Anolis sagrei: one gene and its partner. The protein of the gene in region 2 purifies or fractionates together with the protein of the main gene of each other region. This does not show direct contact. Links are inferred from orthologs where the notes say so. Each region holds a gene or a part of one and is shown on either strand. Other genes may lie near its edges.

Region 1 (7,356 bases), on a different chromosome or scaffold from region 2:
ACATCTCTCTCTATCCTTCAAACCAAGAAGGGTTACATACCTTTTGTTTCAAAATATAGAAACGTACGACGAAAAGGTAAGGTCTATACATAAGCCTAAAACTGTTTGCAGAAAGGTCTTTTTCGTTTGAGTCTTGGATATTGTTATTATTATTATTCACAATAATACATCTTCGGGGAGGAAGAGGAAGGGGTTTGGGAGAGGGGAGGAAGGAAGGGAGGGGGCGCCACCACCTTCAGGGGTCCCTCTCCTTTTTGACTTTGACGTCTCCGGCCAGGATGGTGGCGATCTCGCCCTGCATGAAGGCCCAAGGCACGTTGGAGCCCACCAGGGGGCACTTCTCCCCGCTGGGGCAGTAGACCTCGCCGGTGGCGCCCTGGGCCTTGATGCTCTCCCGCGAGCAAGGGAAGCAGAACTTGTGGCCGGGCACCGAGGGGCACTGCACGAAGTGGGTGTCCTCCAAGCGTTCGTGGCAAATGGTGCAGCACAGGGGTCCGCTGTTGGCCATGGGCGAGTCGGGGATGTTGGGAGGGTGGTTGGGGTCCAGGCTGGGCGGAGGAGGGGGAGGGGGAGGCGGGGGAGGGGGCGCGGAAGACGGGGCCATGCTCAACTCCCCGTTGCGGGAGGCCAAGCGGCGTGGGCCGGGCGCGGAGGCGGGAGAGACCGGGCTGCTGCTGTTCCGGCGCGTGGACGAGGAAGAGGACGAGGACGAGGAAGAAGACGAAGAGGAAGTGGTGGAGTGGACCGAGCTGCCGTCCTTGGGAGAGTGCGCGTTGCCTAACGTGTCTGCGACGGACATAAGCGCTGCCATGGGCGACTGCCCGTTCTGTGGGGCCGACTCCGGCGGGGTGGTCCGGAGGGAGTGAGGGGGTGGCGGGGGAGGGGGAGGGAAGCCCCCCGTTGCCATGGTGAGCTTCAGGGCCTCGCTCTGGCTGGCCATCCACTGCTGGCGCTGCTGCTCCTCGCTCAGCTTGCCTTCCGAGGCCGAGTCCGAGGGCTCCGGGGAGGCCTTCCTCTTCCTCAAGCCGGTGGCTCCGCTCCCCGCTCCCGCCGAGCCTCCGGGCCCGCGACCCGACGGCGTCCCGGCCCCGCGCGGCATGCCCACCAAGGCGGAAGGCAGCATCGGGCAGGCGGCGTCGAGGAAGGGATGCGGGAGCATGTCGGCGCCCACGGGCTCCTTGAAGAAGCGCACCGCCTCCGGGAGCAGGTCCCCTAAGAGGCGCCAGTCGCCCGAGCCGTGCTTCTTCTCGTACTCGAGGTACTTGAAGCCGGAGGAGAGGCCCCGCCCGAAGTCCTTCATGCAGTCCTGGTACATCTGCTTGGCCACCCCGGAGGCGCTGGCGAAGACGGTGCCGGACCCGGCGGGGTACTCCACGAAGAGCTTGAGCTCGTAGTCCAGGCCGGGCTTGGCCACGGCGTCGAAGGCGAAGACGCGGCCCAGGAGCGCGTGGTCCTTCTTGAAGCGCACCTCGTAGGGCGTGCAGCCGGCCAGCGTCAGCAGCGTCTCCCGCACCAGCTTGGGCTTGCCCGGCCACTCCTCCGCCCGGCTCCGGAGGCTCTCGTTTAGCTCGGCCAGCGCCTCCGCGTTGCGCTGCTTCTCCTTCAGCTCCCGCTCCGCCTCCGCGCCGCCCGAGGAGGAGGACACCGAGCCCGGGCGCTTCCCGCAGGGATCCCCGGAGGAGGAGGAAGACGTGGAAGAGGTGGACGAAGAGGAGGAGGTGGACGAGGAGGAGGACGTCGGGGGGCCGCGAGGAGGGGGCAGCGCCACGCCGGACCCCGCCGGCCCGTTGAGCAGCGTCTGCGGGAGCAAGTTGGGCGGGACGTTGAGCTGGGCCCCGCCGCCGCCGCCACTTCCTTGAGGCAGGCCGCCCCCCAAGTGCGTCCCCCTCCGGGAAGACGACGACGCGGACGAAGACGAGGAGGAATTGGGGCTCTGGCGGTTCAGCTCCGGGGGCCCGTCGTCGGGGGCTTTGGGGAAGCCATTGGGCCCGCCCAGGCCGTTGGGGAGCCGCGCCGCGTGCGGAGGAGGCGGCGGAGGGTACTCGAACCGCCCGCGCGGAGGCTCGCTCAGCCCGTAGCGCTCCAGGCCCGAAGGCGCTTTCGAGGCGGAGGCGTCCACATGGTTCAGTTGTTGCTGTTGCACTGCCGCCGCCGCAGCCGCTGCCGCCGCCGCCACCGCCGCTTCCTTGGCGGAGAGAGGCAACGCTTTGACGCCGGCGCCGACGGGAGGGGAGCGCCCGTCCTGGAAGCAGCCGTGGGCCCGCTTGAGCTGCCGCGCCGTCTCGATGACGAACTCGATGCGGTCGGCGCCCTCGTAGTTGACGCACCCGCGGCAGACGGGCTCCGTGAAGTCCCAGATCATGGCCCACGGCATCCGCGGGAGGTCGCACAGGTAGCACGACTGGCGCCGCGAGGAGGAGACCGGCGCCGAAGACATGGCGGAAGAGGACGCGTCGCCTTCCCGCCTCGCTCTCGGGACTGCCCTCCTTGCCTCGCTTGCCTTCTCCGCTCCGGCTCCTTCCTCTTCTTCACGAGGGAGGCTGCCGACCCGCACTTCCTGCCTTCTTCCCTTCCGCGAGGGTTCGGGGCTGCGGGGGGGAAAGGGACCCACGCCGCGGCTGCTTGGCAACAACACAAGGGCGCCTCAGGGCGGCATCTTGTCTCCACCGCCACTTCCGCTTCTTTTCTAATGCTGCTGCTGCTGCTGCTCAGGCTCCTCGGCTTCACATCCTCGGAATTCGGATCGGGGGAAGCCGGAGTGTCACTCTCTGCGCGACGCTCTCTTTCGCCTTCTCTCTCTCTCTCTCTCTCTCTCTCTCTTGCGCGCGCGCGCCTCAGCCCCTCCCCCTCCTCCTTCTTCTTCTTCTTCTCCTCGCGCCCTCCGCTCGGATGCCCCCTTGGGCGGGGCTGCCTACGTCACCCCGTCGCTCTCTCTCTCTCTCTCTTTCTCTCTCTCTCTCTCTCCCCTCCTCCTCTTCCTTGTAAGCCTTTGCGATTCCCCTTTTGAGCGCCGGCTGACTGACTGACCGATCAGCTTCTGCTTTGCTCGCCCCTCCTTCTCTCCCCCTCCCTCCCCTCTCCTCCCCCCGCTGGCAGCCACTTCCTCTCTTGTGTGTCTGAGGACAGGGAGCCCACTTGTTGCGCGGGGATTGCGCATGCGCGGCAGCTTGCCCGTTTCCGACGTCTCCTCTCCCTCTCTTCTCCCCCCCTCCCTCCCCCGCCTTCTTCGGGTGTGTACAACAGCTGAGTGGCTGCTGGGAGGCGAGGGAGGCTCCCCTCCCTCCTTCCTCGCTCACTCACACACCGAGGGCTATGTTTGGAAAATCAAACATGAGATCTCTCCCTCCCTCCCTCCCTCCCTCCCCCCTTCCTCCTTCTCTCCCTCCCGCCTGGCTCTGTCTCCGCCATGGCAGGTTCCCCAAAGCCGAACCCAGCCAGGAAAGCAGGGGTAAAGTCTGCGGGGGGGGGGGGGGGGGAGTGGGGTGGAGAGAGAGAGAGATGTAGTTTTGATTTCCCACCTTTTCGCTTTCTGAAAGCCTCCTTTGGATCTCTGACAATTGCGTGGCCTCCTTTTCCTGCAGTGAAATGGATGGCAAATCAGAAAGACGGGGAGGGGGTAGACCTCTATAGAGATTTAATGCAGACTGATACCGCTTTAAACTGCCGCGGCTCAGGGCTATGTAGTTTACAAAGTCTTTGGCCTTCTCTGCCAAAGAATGCTGGTGCCTTGAGTGTGAAGAGGGGTGCCAATAGGGGGGCTACTACTTACTTAACGGTGCTCCATTCAGCCATGCTGGCCACATGACCTTGGAGGTGTCTACGGACAACGCTGGCTCTTCGGCTTAGAATTTGAGATGAGAACCATCACCCCCAGAGTTGCTAAGGTGCAGATCTTGATGACTTGAAGGTCGGTAGTTCAAATTCGCAGGACAGGGTGAGCTCCCATTGCTAGCCCTAACTTCTGCCAACATAGCAGTTCGAAAACATGTAAAATGTGAGCAGATCGGTATCTCTTCAGCAGGAACATAACGGCACGCCATGCAGTTATGCTGGCCACATGACCTTGGAGGTGTCTACGGACAACACCGGCTCTTCAGTTTAGAAATGGAGATGAGCACCACCACCCACAGAGTTGCTAAACTGCAGGTCTTGATGAGGTCGGTGGTTCAAATCCGCAGGACGGGGTGAGCTCCCATTGCTAGCCCCAGCTTCTGCCACTATAGTTTGAAAACATGCAGAATGTGATTAGATAGATACTGCATCAGTGGGAAGGTAACGGTGTTCCATGCATTCATGCTGGCCACATGACCTTGGAGGTGTCTATGGACAACGCCAGCTCTTCAGCTGAGAAATGGAGATGAGTACCAACCCCCAGAGTCAGACACAACTGGACTTAATGTCAGGGGAAACTTTTACAATTTCCTTTACTTAATTCAAATGTATCACCATTCTGTTTTCAGGCTGAGTATCCCATGGAAGATTGTAGGTCTTACAAAAAAAAAAAATACCAGCCATGAGTGCTACTCTATCCAGTTTCTCTTCCTCTCTTCTAACTCACCTTTTTTTAAAAAAATACTAAGTTTACAATATGACAATATATAGATTGCTGTGAAAATGACAGTCATCAGCCTACAATATTAAAGCTCATACGTTAAAAAGCGAAACAGCTTTGCCAAGAAGAGAAGGAAGTCAAGGTAGGTACTGTATATTAATTGCTTGTCAAGATTAATCCATTGTCCAGTGGTCCTGTGACTCATAAATGTTGTGTTTGTTGTTTACTTAGTCAATAAAGGGAAGCCATCTTTCAGCAAAAGGTGTGGCATTTAGGTGTCTTTTTTTTTAGTCTCAAAATATCATAGCTTCTCCATCCATGTTTCACCTGCTGCTATCAATTCCCTATCAAGATGTCACTTGTTTTTCAGTTTGGGGCAGTTTTTAGGCTAGGAGTAGCTACACAAGGAAAGTAGTTACTTACGGTGCAATATTTTTGTTCCCCAAGAATACAGAAAGTAAGAAAATGTGATTTCTTGTTTAATGATGTCTGAAATTGTGTTAGCTGCAAGAAGACAGAACTGGTTTATCTTTGTGCATTCTATCTATATGTGCAAGCAAATCCCTTTACAGCAGGCATGGACACACTTGGGCTCTCCAAGTGTTTTGGACTCCAACTCCCACTATTCCTCGCAGCCTCACACCCCTTCCTTTTCCCCCTCGACCACTTAAGCTTGCTTTACAGCCACAAAACTTCCAACAATTAGCATTTGTAGTTTTTACAATTCCTATAATATTCTGGGTTTACATCAGGCACAGGTAACTGGCTCTCCAGATGTTGTCTGCAAAGCTTCAGGCCCTTCCAAACAGTCATACATCACAGAATATCAAGGCCGAAAATCTCACATTATCTGTTTTGAACTGGGTTTAAAGTTATTAAAGCCATGCCATTCCACAGTGGAGCAACAATTTGAACATTGCTCTCTAGAGTGTGGTCTAACACTTAGCTGAACAATTCCTGAGGCCTTGGGCTCCACTCAGTGGGGTTTCCTTTAAGCTTGCTGGGCTGATGTCTTTCTCTCTAGCCTCCCTTTAAAAAACTTTGAGCGGGTCAGTCCCAAAGCTGGGATCCCCAGGCCAATCATGTCATAGCAAGGAAACTTTCAGAGCCATCCTAGTCAAAGTGGCAGTCCATGGTCTAGTGACTATTCATAAGTATGTCAGCCCCTGAAGAGTTTCCAAGAAAGGGATTGCAACCAACGGGCACAAATACCATATTTACTCTAGTCTAATGTGCCACCAAATCTAACACCCTAATTTCAGCAAGGCAATTTAGCCAAAAAAAAGGTGAGCATTAGATTAGAGTAAATTTGAGTAACCCACCCCCACCTCCTGGTGATATAGCTAGTATACTGCTGAGCTGCTGAACTTGCTAACCGAAAGGTTGGCAGATCGAATCCAAAGAGCAGGGTGAGCTCCCGCTGTTAGGCCCAGCTTCTGCCAACCTAGCAGTTTGAAAACATACGAATGTGAGTGGATCAATAGGTAACGCTTCTGCGAGAAGGTAACAGCACTCCATGCAGTCATGCTGGCCACATGACCTTGGAGGTGTCTACGGACAATGCTGGCTCTTTGGCTTAGAAATGAAGATGAGCACCACTCCCCAGAGTCAGACATGACTAGACTTAAGGGGAAACCTTTACTTGTGACTGGCATGTTGGGGAGTAAATAGCCACCAAAAAGCTTGGGAAGATGTATCTTAGAGCAGGTGATGCTATTAAGCTCAGGCCATCCCTCTGTAAAAGGACACAGAGAGTGGAGACATTCTAACTACCCTTTGAGAGTATTTAGGGCCATGAGAAACCGTGTAGAAGAGCATCCGGAAGCCTTTGCCCTACCTACTCCTGTGGGTTTGGTCTTATGATCTGCAGAAATCCTGCCTCAATTCTCAAGAGTGAGAGACTGGCCAATGGGATGCTTGAATGGAAGCCTTTCATTGAAAAGTCCCACCTAAATGGGTCAAGAGCATAATTGTGAGATCAGGAGTGCTGTGGAGAAGCGTCTGCTGCAGTTCATTGACTTGCCCTGTATCCTTACAGTATAAGGTAAAATGGAACAGCTAAAATAATGTGGGGTACATACAAATTTTGGGTTTTCTAATGAAACCATCAGTCCAATTGGAAAACCACTTTTAGGACAATGACTTTTTAAAAAAACCACCTAAATGCATGTCATGTTCAGTCAGGAAAAGTTGGAGGTCTATTTAAATAAAGTCTTTGCCTTCACTCAGCCCAGTTAAATGCAAAGCAAACTGGATACCTGCCAGCTGAGTGCAGGCAGTGAAATCAGAGCAAACTGGTTTCCACTCTGGTACCTCCTCTAAAAACCCATTTTGCCCTGATGGTGATCATGTGTTCTCTGACTGCATTTCAGTCTCCCTTCCTTTGAACTGCAGCATGTATTGATCCTTGGGGGAAGAGCTGGAAAAGAACCATGCTTTAATCATATCTGTTTTAGAAACACACCCCAGTGCCCATGTCCTCATTTGACTTTTGTTGTAGCTTTTCGATCTTGAGGCTTCTTCCAGCTTTGCTTTTCCCAGAGAGGGATTATTCTCTTTTGTGCCAGTCTTTTAGATGTCTCAGGCTACCTTCACACTCCACCCTGGTGTTAAGGCATCTATCTTCTGTTTCCAAATTATTATTATTATTATTATTATTATTATTATTATTATTATTACCTGCCTCTCCTTTTGGCTCAAGATGGGGTTTCCCCTTGACATTGAGTCTAGCTGAGTTAAACTCTGTGGGGTAGTGCTAATCTCCATTTCTAAGCCAAAGAGTCATGATTGTCCGTAGATGCCAC
Region 2 (7,112 bases):
TTGGCGCCTTCCCTCGGCGCGAGCTCGCTTCCCTATTGGCCAGCCCGAGCGTCAACGTCACAGCGTGACCCGGCCGAGAAAAAGGAAGTGACCGCGCGCCAGGCTTGTGTAACACAGAACCTCCTTCTGCGGGTGGGGTCACCCACAAGCCCTTCCCTCCTCCCTTGCTTCTCGCCAAATCTCCAGTTGTTAAAGAAGTGGTCGTTATTAGACTCTTCTTCCCTCCCAAGCCAGCCAGTGCTGTCCTTCCTGCCTCTTCCCAAAAAGAGGACTCCAACTCCCAGAATCCCTCGCCATTGGCCAACCTGGCTGAGGCTTCTGGGAGTTGGAGTCCCACAAACGTAAAGGGCCAAAGGTTGGGGGAAAAATGCTTTGGAAGGCCTCTGCAGGGGAAGAGCAAGCCAGTTTCGAAGCAGGCCCTTCTACACTGTCCCCAGGATCTGATCCCAGGTTTTCTGCATTAAACAGGATTATAAACCTCTCAACAAAAGATTATAAACCTCTCAACAAAAGATTTCCCCAGGCACTGCCAGGCCTTCAAATGCTGATCAAGGTGGTCAGTTGAAACATTCACACCTAGCTCCAACAGACAAGAATTCTTTCTCCCACCCTGGTCATTCCACAGATATATAAACCCATTTTCCTAGTTCCAACAGACCTCATTATCTCTGAGGATGCTTGCCATAGATGCAGGCGAAACATCAGGAGAAAATGCCTCTAAAACATGGCCATCTAGCCCGAAAAAACCCTACAACAACCCATAAACAGAAAAGCTGGGATCAGATCCTGGGATACTGGACCTGTCTGGAAGGGCCCAGAGAGACTCAAATAATAATGCTAATCCAGGGCTCTTCCAGACAGTCCTCTATCCCAGAATATCAAGGAAGATAATCCCACAATATCTGCTTTGAATTGGGTTATCTGAGTCACAATCAGATAATGTGGGATTGTCTGCCTTGATATTCTGGGATATAAAGCTGTGTGGAATAGCCCCTAATGTAGAGGAAATAGTCTTTTGGGGCCCTTCCAGACAGGCTCTGTATCCCAGGAACTGATCTCTGGTTTTCTTTTTATCCCAGATTATCTGTCAGTGGGGACTCATATAATCTAAAACCTGGGATCAGATTCTGGGAGGTAAGGCCTGGCTGGAAGGGCCCTTGGAGAGGCCAACAACAAGGATCCATTGTTTTCTCTGGGAAGCTTAAAACAGTACAAGTCCCTGAAATAACCCTACCACAATCCCACTTTGGCAAAGTCCACACTGAGCGCTTAACGCGGTTTCAAACCAGCATTGAAGAGAAGTGGGTTTTGCTGCGCTAGAGGATTCCAAAAGAAATGCTGGTACCACTCTGAAGCCTGGGGTGGTGATTGTACCAACCACAAATGCACATCTTTTGCGGGAGTTTGGTTGCTTGGCTGTTTCAGTTTCGAACTGCTTTAAATGTCCAGTGTATTATTCCAGTTTCAAGCAGATATTCTGGGATCGGATCCTGGGATAGAGAGGCAGTATGGAAGGGCCCTAAGGGCTCTACTACGCTGTCTTTATATCCCAGGATCTGATCCCAGAATTTATGCTTGATACTATTATATGAGTCTGCACTGCCAGATAATCTGGAATAAACAGATAATCTGGGATCAGATCCTAGGATAGAGAGGAAGTGTGGAAGGGCCCAAAGGGCTCTGCTACACTGTCCTTATATCCCAGGACCTGATCCCAGGTTTTATGATTGAAACTGGATTATATGAGTCTCCACTGCCAGATAATCTGGGATAAACAGATAATCTGGGATCAGATACTGGGATAAAGAGACAGCGTGGAAGGGCCCTAAGGGCTCTACTACACTGTCCTTATATCTCAGGATCTGATCCCAGATTTTATGCTTGAAAATGGATTATATGTGTCTCCACTGCCAGATAGTCTGGGATAAACAGATAATCTGGGATCAGATCCTGGGATAGAGAGGAAGTGTGGGAGGGCCCTAAGGGCTCTGCTACACTGTCCTCATATCCCAGGAACTGATCCCAGATTTTATGCTCTAAACTGGATTATGAGTCTCCACTGCCAGATAATCTGGGATAAACAGATAATCTGGGATCAGATCCTGGGATAGAGAGGAAATGTGGAAGGGCTCTAAGGGCTCTACCACACTGTCCTTATATCCCAGGATCTGATCCCAGATTTTATGCTATATGAGTCTCCACTGCAAAATAATCTGGGACAAACAGAAAACCTGGGATCGGATCCTGGGCCTGCTTGGAAGGGCCTTGAGTCTATAGCCAATCCTAGCAGCCCAACCCTTTTCTTTCCTTCCAAATGCAAATCCAAAAGTGAAATTTAAAAATCCCCCTAGTTTTGATGGCAACCTTTGGAGATGCAAAGCAGTTGGCACGTGCTCCTATTGAGATGTGGAAAGGAAAAATAATCAATCAATGTCTCCCTCGGCTTGCAGATTCCAAAAACAATGGTTGTTTCTCTTTCCTTACCCGGAATGGTGTGCAGATATTCCTTCCTCAAGGTTGCCTCGGTTGCCAAGAGACGCGAAATGGAAAGGGAAAGAGGCGGCCGGGTTGGTTGGATGGCGGCGGCGGGAGCAAAACTAAAAGTTAATTCCGCCTCGAGTGACTCCAGATCGAAAGCAAAACAAGGCGGGCGCCGGGCTTTGGGGGGAGCCAAGCCCTTGGCTGGCCCCTCTTCCCTTCCTGGGCTCCTCGGGCTCCCCTTCCCTTTCCCCTTCTTCTTCTCCTCCTTCTCCTCCTTCTCCTTCTTCCCAGGCCTTGTTTGTGCGGGGAGGAGGAGGACGACGAGGAGGAGGAGGAGGAGGGGAGAAAGAGGTGCGGAAGTTTGCCGCAGAAGCTCATTGGCAGCCGGCGCCGCTTTCATCATTTCTCCGAAAAGTCGATTTCATTTTCACTTCCCTCCAGCCAGAGAAAGAGAAACACAAGGGGAGGAAGAGGGAGGGGAAGCAGGGCGGAAAAGCCAGGCTCACTTCCCCTTTCCAGGAGGGAAAGCCAGCCTCCTCTGCTCTTCTCCCTCTTTCTTCTTTCCCTGCAATGGCTTCGCCTGGGAGCGCCTTCCGGGTTCATCATTTCAGCAGCATGGGAGTTGTAGTTTGGCAAGGCCTTTCGCCCTTTTCTCGTCCCTGGTGCCCAGAATCCCTTCCAGCCTTGAGCCAGGGCACTTTCCAACTCCATTCATTCTACAATGCAGGGCCTACTGTCATTCCTATTACACTATAATGATATTGTTTTGCACTGTTTGTTTTATTTTGTTACTTATTTTGTTACTTTCTGTTATTTTGTGTTTAACTTGGCTGTATTATTATTGGGCTTGGCCTCATGTTAGATGGTGGCGGGGTATAAATAAAATGTATTATTATTATATTGCTAGTTATCCCCTGCCACACATTGCTGTGGCCTAGTCTGTGTATATCTGTTTATGTGTGAGTATATATTTGTGTATATGTGTGTGTAGTAAAGGTAAAGGTAGTCCCCTGACATTAAGTCCAGTCATGTCTGACTCTGGGGTGTGGTGCTCATCTCCATTTCTAAGCCGAAGAGCCAGTGTTGTCCGTAGACACCTCCAAGGTCATGTGGCCGGCATGACTGCATGGAGCGCCGTTACCTTCCTGCTGGAGCGGTACCTATTGATCTACTCACATTTGCATGTTTTCGAACTGCTAGGTTGGCAGAAGCTAGGGCTAACAGCGGAAGCTCACGCCGCTCCCCGGAATCGAACCTGCGACCTTTCGATCAACAAGCTCAGCAGCTCAGTGCTTTAACCCACTGCGCCACCGGGGGCTCCATGTGTGTGTATATGTGTGTATATATTTGTGTATTTCGGTGTTTATATGTGTATATGTATATTGTGTATGTGTGTCCACTTAGAATCATAGAATCAAAGAGTTGGAAGAGACCTCATGGGCCATCCAGTCCAACCCCCTGCCAAGAAGCAGGAATATTGCATTCAAATCACCCCTGACAGATGGCCATCCAGCCCCTGTTTAAAAGCTTCCAAAGAAGGAGCCTCCACCACACTCCGGGGCAGAGAGTTCCACTGCTGAACGGCTCTCACTGACTTGTGTATATGCATATATATATATATATGTGTTTGTTGTTGTTGTTGTTCATTTGTTCAGTCCTTTCCGATTCTTCGTGACTGCATGGACCAGCCCACGCCAGAGCTCCCTGTCAGTCTTCACCACCCCCAGCTCCTTCAGAGTCAAACCAGTCACTTCAAGGATGCCATCCATCCACCTTGCCCTTGGTCGGCCCCTCCTCCTTTTTCCTTCCATTTTCCCCAGCATCATTGTCTTCTCTAAGCTTTCCTGTCTGTTCATGATGTGGACAAAGTACTTCATCTTGGCCTCTAATATCCTTCCTTCCAATGAGCAGTCGGGTTTTATTTCCTGAAGTATGGACTGGTTGGATCCTCTCGCTGTCCAAGGCAGTTTTTCTTCTTAAAATACCTTTGAAAACGAGTGTGTTCCACAACAAGCATACTGTGGTCCACCGAAAATCCCAGCTCTATGAAGTTGGAAGATATACCTTCTTTATATTGTTGTTGTTCATTTGTTCAGTCATTTCCGACTCTTTGTGACCTCATGGACCAGCCCACGCCAGAGCTCCCTGTCGGCTGTCACCTCCCCCAGCTCCTTCAGAGTCAAGCCAGTCATTTCAAGGATGCCATCCATCCATCTTACCCTTGGTCGGCCCCTCTTCCCCTTTCCTTCCATTTCCCCCAGCATCATTGTCTTCTTTAAGCTTTCCTGTCTTCTCATGATGTGGCCAAAGTACTTCAACTTTGTCTCTACTATTCTTCCCTCCAATGAGCAGTTGGACTTTATTTCCTGATGTATGGACTGGTTGGATCTTCTCGCTGTCCGAGGCACTCTCAGCACTTTCCTCCATCACCACAGTTCAAAAGCATCTATCTTCCTTCGCGCAGCCTTCCCTTTGGTCCAGTTCTCACATCCATAGGTGACTGTGGGGAATACCATTGCTTTAACTATGAGGATCTTTGTTGCCAATGTGATTCCCTACCCTTCACTATTTTATCAAGATTGGTCATTGCTCTCCTCCCAAGAAGTAAGCGTCTCCTGATTTCCTGGCTGCAGGAAATCAGGAGACGCTTGTCTGCAGTAATCTTTGCACCTAGGATTTCCTGTCTGCAGTAATCTTTGCACCTAGGAATACAAAGTCTGTCACTGCCTCCATGTTTTCTCCCTCTATTTCCCAGTTGTCAATCATTCTTGTTGCCATAATCTTGATTTTTTTTATATTTAACTACAACCCAGCTTTTGCATTTTCTTCTTTCACCTTTGTTTGAAGGCTCCCCAGCTCCTCGCTTTCGGCCATCAAAGTGGTATCATCTGCATATCTAAGGTTGTTAATGTTTCTTCCAGCAGTTTTCACCCCAGCCTTGCATTCCTCAAGCCCCGCACATCTCATGATGTGTTCTGCATACAAGTTGAATAGGTTGGGTGAGAGTATACAACCCTGCCGTACGCCTTTCCCAATCTTGAACCAGTCTGTTGTTCCATGGTCAGTTCTTACTGTTGCTACTTGGTCCCTATACAGATTCCTCGGGAGAGAGACAAGGAGATTTGGTATGCCCATCCCACCAAGAACTTGCCACAGTTTGTTATGATCCACACAGTCAAAGGCTTTAGAATAGTCAATAAAACAGAAATAGATGTTTTTCTGAAACTCCCTGCCTTTCTCCATTATCCAGCGGATATTGGCAATTTGGTCTCTTGTTCCTCTGCCTTTTCTAAACCCAGCTTGTACATCTGGCAACTCTCTCTCCGTGTATTGCTGGAGTTTTCCTTGCAGGATCTTGAGCATTACTTTACTGGCATGAGAAATAGGAGCCACTGTACAAAAGTTTGAGCATTCTTTAGCACAGGGGTCCTCAAACTAAGGCCCGGGGGCCGGATGCGGCCCTCCAAGGTCATTTATCCGGCCCTCGCTCAGGGTCAACCTAAGTCTGAAACGACTTGAAAGCACACAACAACAACAACAATCCTATCTCATCAGCCAAAAGCAGGACCACACTTTCCATTGAAATATTAATAAGTTTATATTTGTTAAAATTGTTCTTAATTTTAATTATTGTATTGTTTTAAAATGTTTTTTGCACTACAAATAAGATATGTGCAATGTGCATAGGAATTCATTTTTTTTAATTATAATCCAGTCCACCAACAGTTTAAGGGACTTTGACTTGGCCCTCTATTTAAAAAGTTTGAGGACCCCTGCTTTAGCATTTCCCTTTTTTGGTATGGGGATATAAATTGATTTTTTCCAGTCTGAAGGCCATTCTTGTGTTTTCCATTTTTGCTGGCATGTGGCATGCATCACCTTGACAGCATCCTCTTTCACGATTTTAAACAGTGGATATATATATTTATGTATGTATGTGTATATGTATGTGTGGGTAGGTGTATATGTATGTGTGTATATTTGTGTGTGCTTGTGTATATTTATTTACCATATTTATATACCGCCCCTCTCAGTCCAAAGGCCCAAATGCACACACACGCACACATATATATATGTATGCATGTGTATATGTATATGAATGTGTATATATGATTTATTTGGGGGGGGGGGTTAAAGTCTGGTCTGCTGGGTTTTTTAATGTGTTTTTAGGGGTGATGGACACTTGTTGGACTATTAGGTGTATTCTGTCAAAATTTCATGTCAATCCATCCAGTGGTTTCTGAGTTATGTTTCCCCCTCAAATGAGCATTAAATTTATATATATACCAGCCGTCCCCTGCCATGCGTTGCTGCGGCCCAGTCTGGTGATCTGGAAAATAAAGTAATTAGAAAGTGTTGGTTTCGAATATATGTAATTTTTTAATGCTTGTGAGTAAACAGTATTTCTTGCTGGTTTTTTTTTGTCAGTGTTGATGTGGAGATTGTCTGGTTTGCCCACTCTGGAACATGTAACATATAATTGTCCTTCTTTAGGAGTTCTCTCAAATCTATGATACTATATCTGTATGTGTGTGAATCATATATATATCTTTCTATATCTATGGCTGGATGGCTCTTTGTCAGGAGGGCTTTGATTAAGTTTTCCTTCACTGGTGAAGGGAGTTGGACTG

What was found. Proteins that work in one complex are often made in the same cells at the same time.
Region 1: the proteins of IRF2 (region 2) and IRF2BPL purify together in Homo sapiens (affinity purification with mass spectrometry; 3 studies listed by BioGRID and IntAct, counting the BioPlex papers as one, with this or other methods). This does not show direct contact. The link is inferred for Anolis sagrei from reciprocal best matches to the Homo sapiens genes IRF2 and IRF2BPL.

What each region holds. Positions count from the first base shown.
Region 1 is NC_090021.1:306,537,255-306,544,610, forward strand, and holds the start of IRF2BPL (probable E3 ubiquitin-protein ligase IRF2BPL), read right to left. Parts: upstream 3,051-7,356; 5' UTR 2,438-3,050; coding exon 236-2,437; 3' UTR 1-235. UniProt on the Homo sapiens protein: Probable E3 ubiquitin protein ligase involved in the proteasome-mediated ubiquitin-dependent degradation of target proteins. Through the degradation of CTNNB1, functions downstream of FOXF2 to negatively regulate the Wnt signaling pathway.
Region 2 is NC_090025.1:66,334,727-66,341,838, forward strand, and holds the start of IRF2 (interferon regulatory factor 2), read right to left. Parts: upstream 3,048-7,112; 5' UTR 2,485-3,047; intron 1-2,484. UniProt on the Homo sapiens protein: Specifically binds to the upstream regulatory region of type I IFN and IFN-inducible MHC class I genes (the interferon consensus sequence (ICS)) and represses those genes. Also acts as an activator for several genes including H4 and IL7.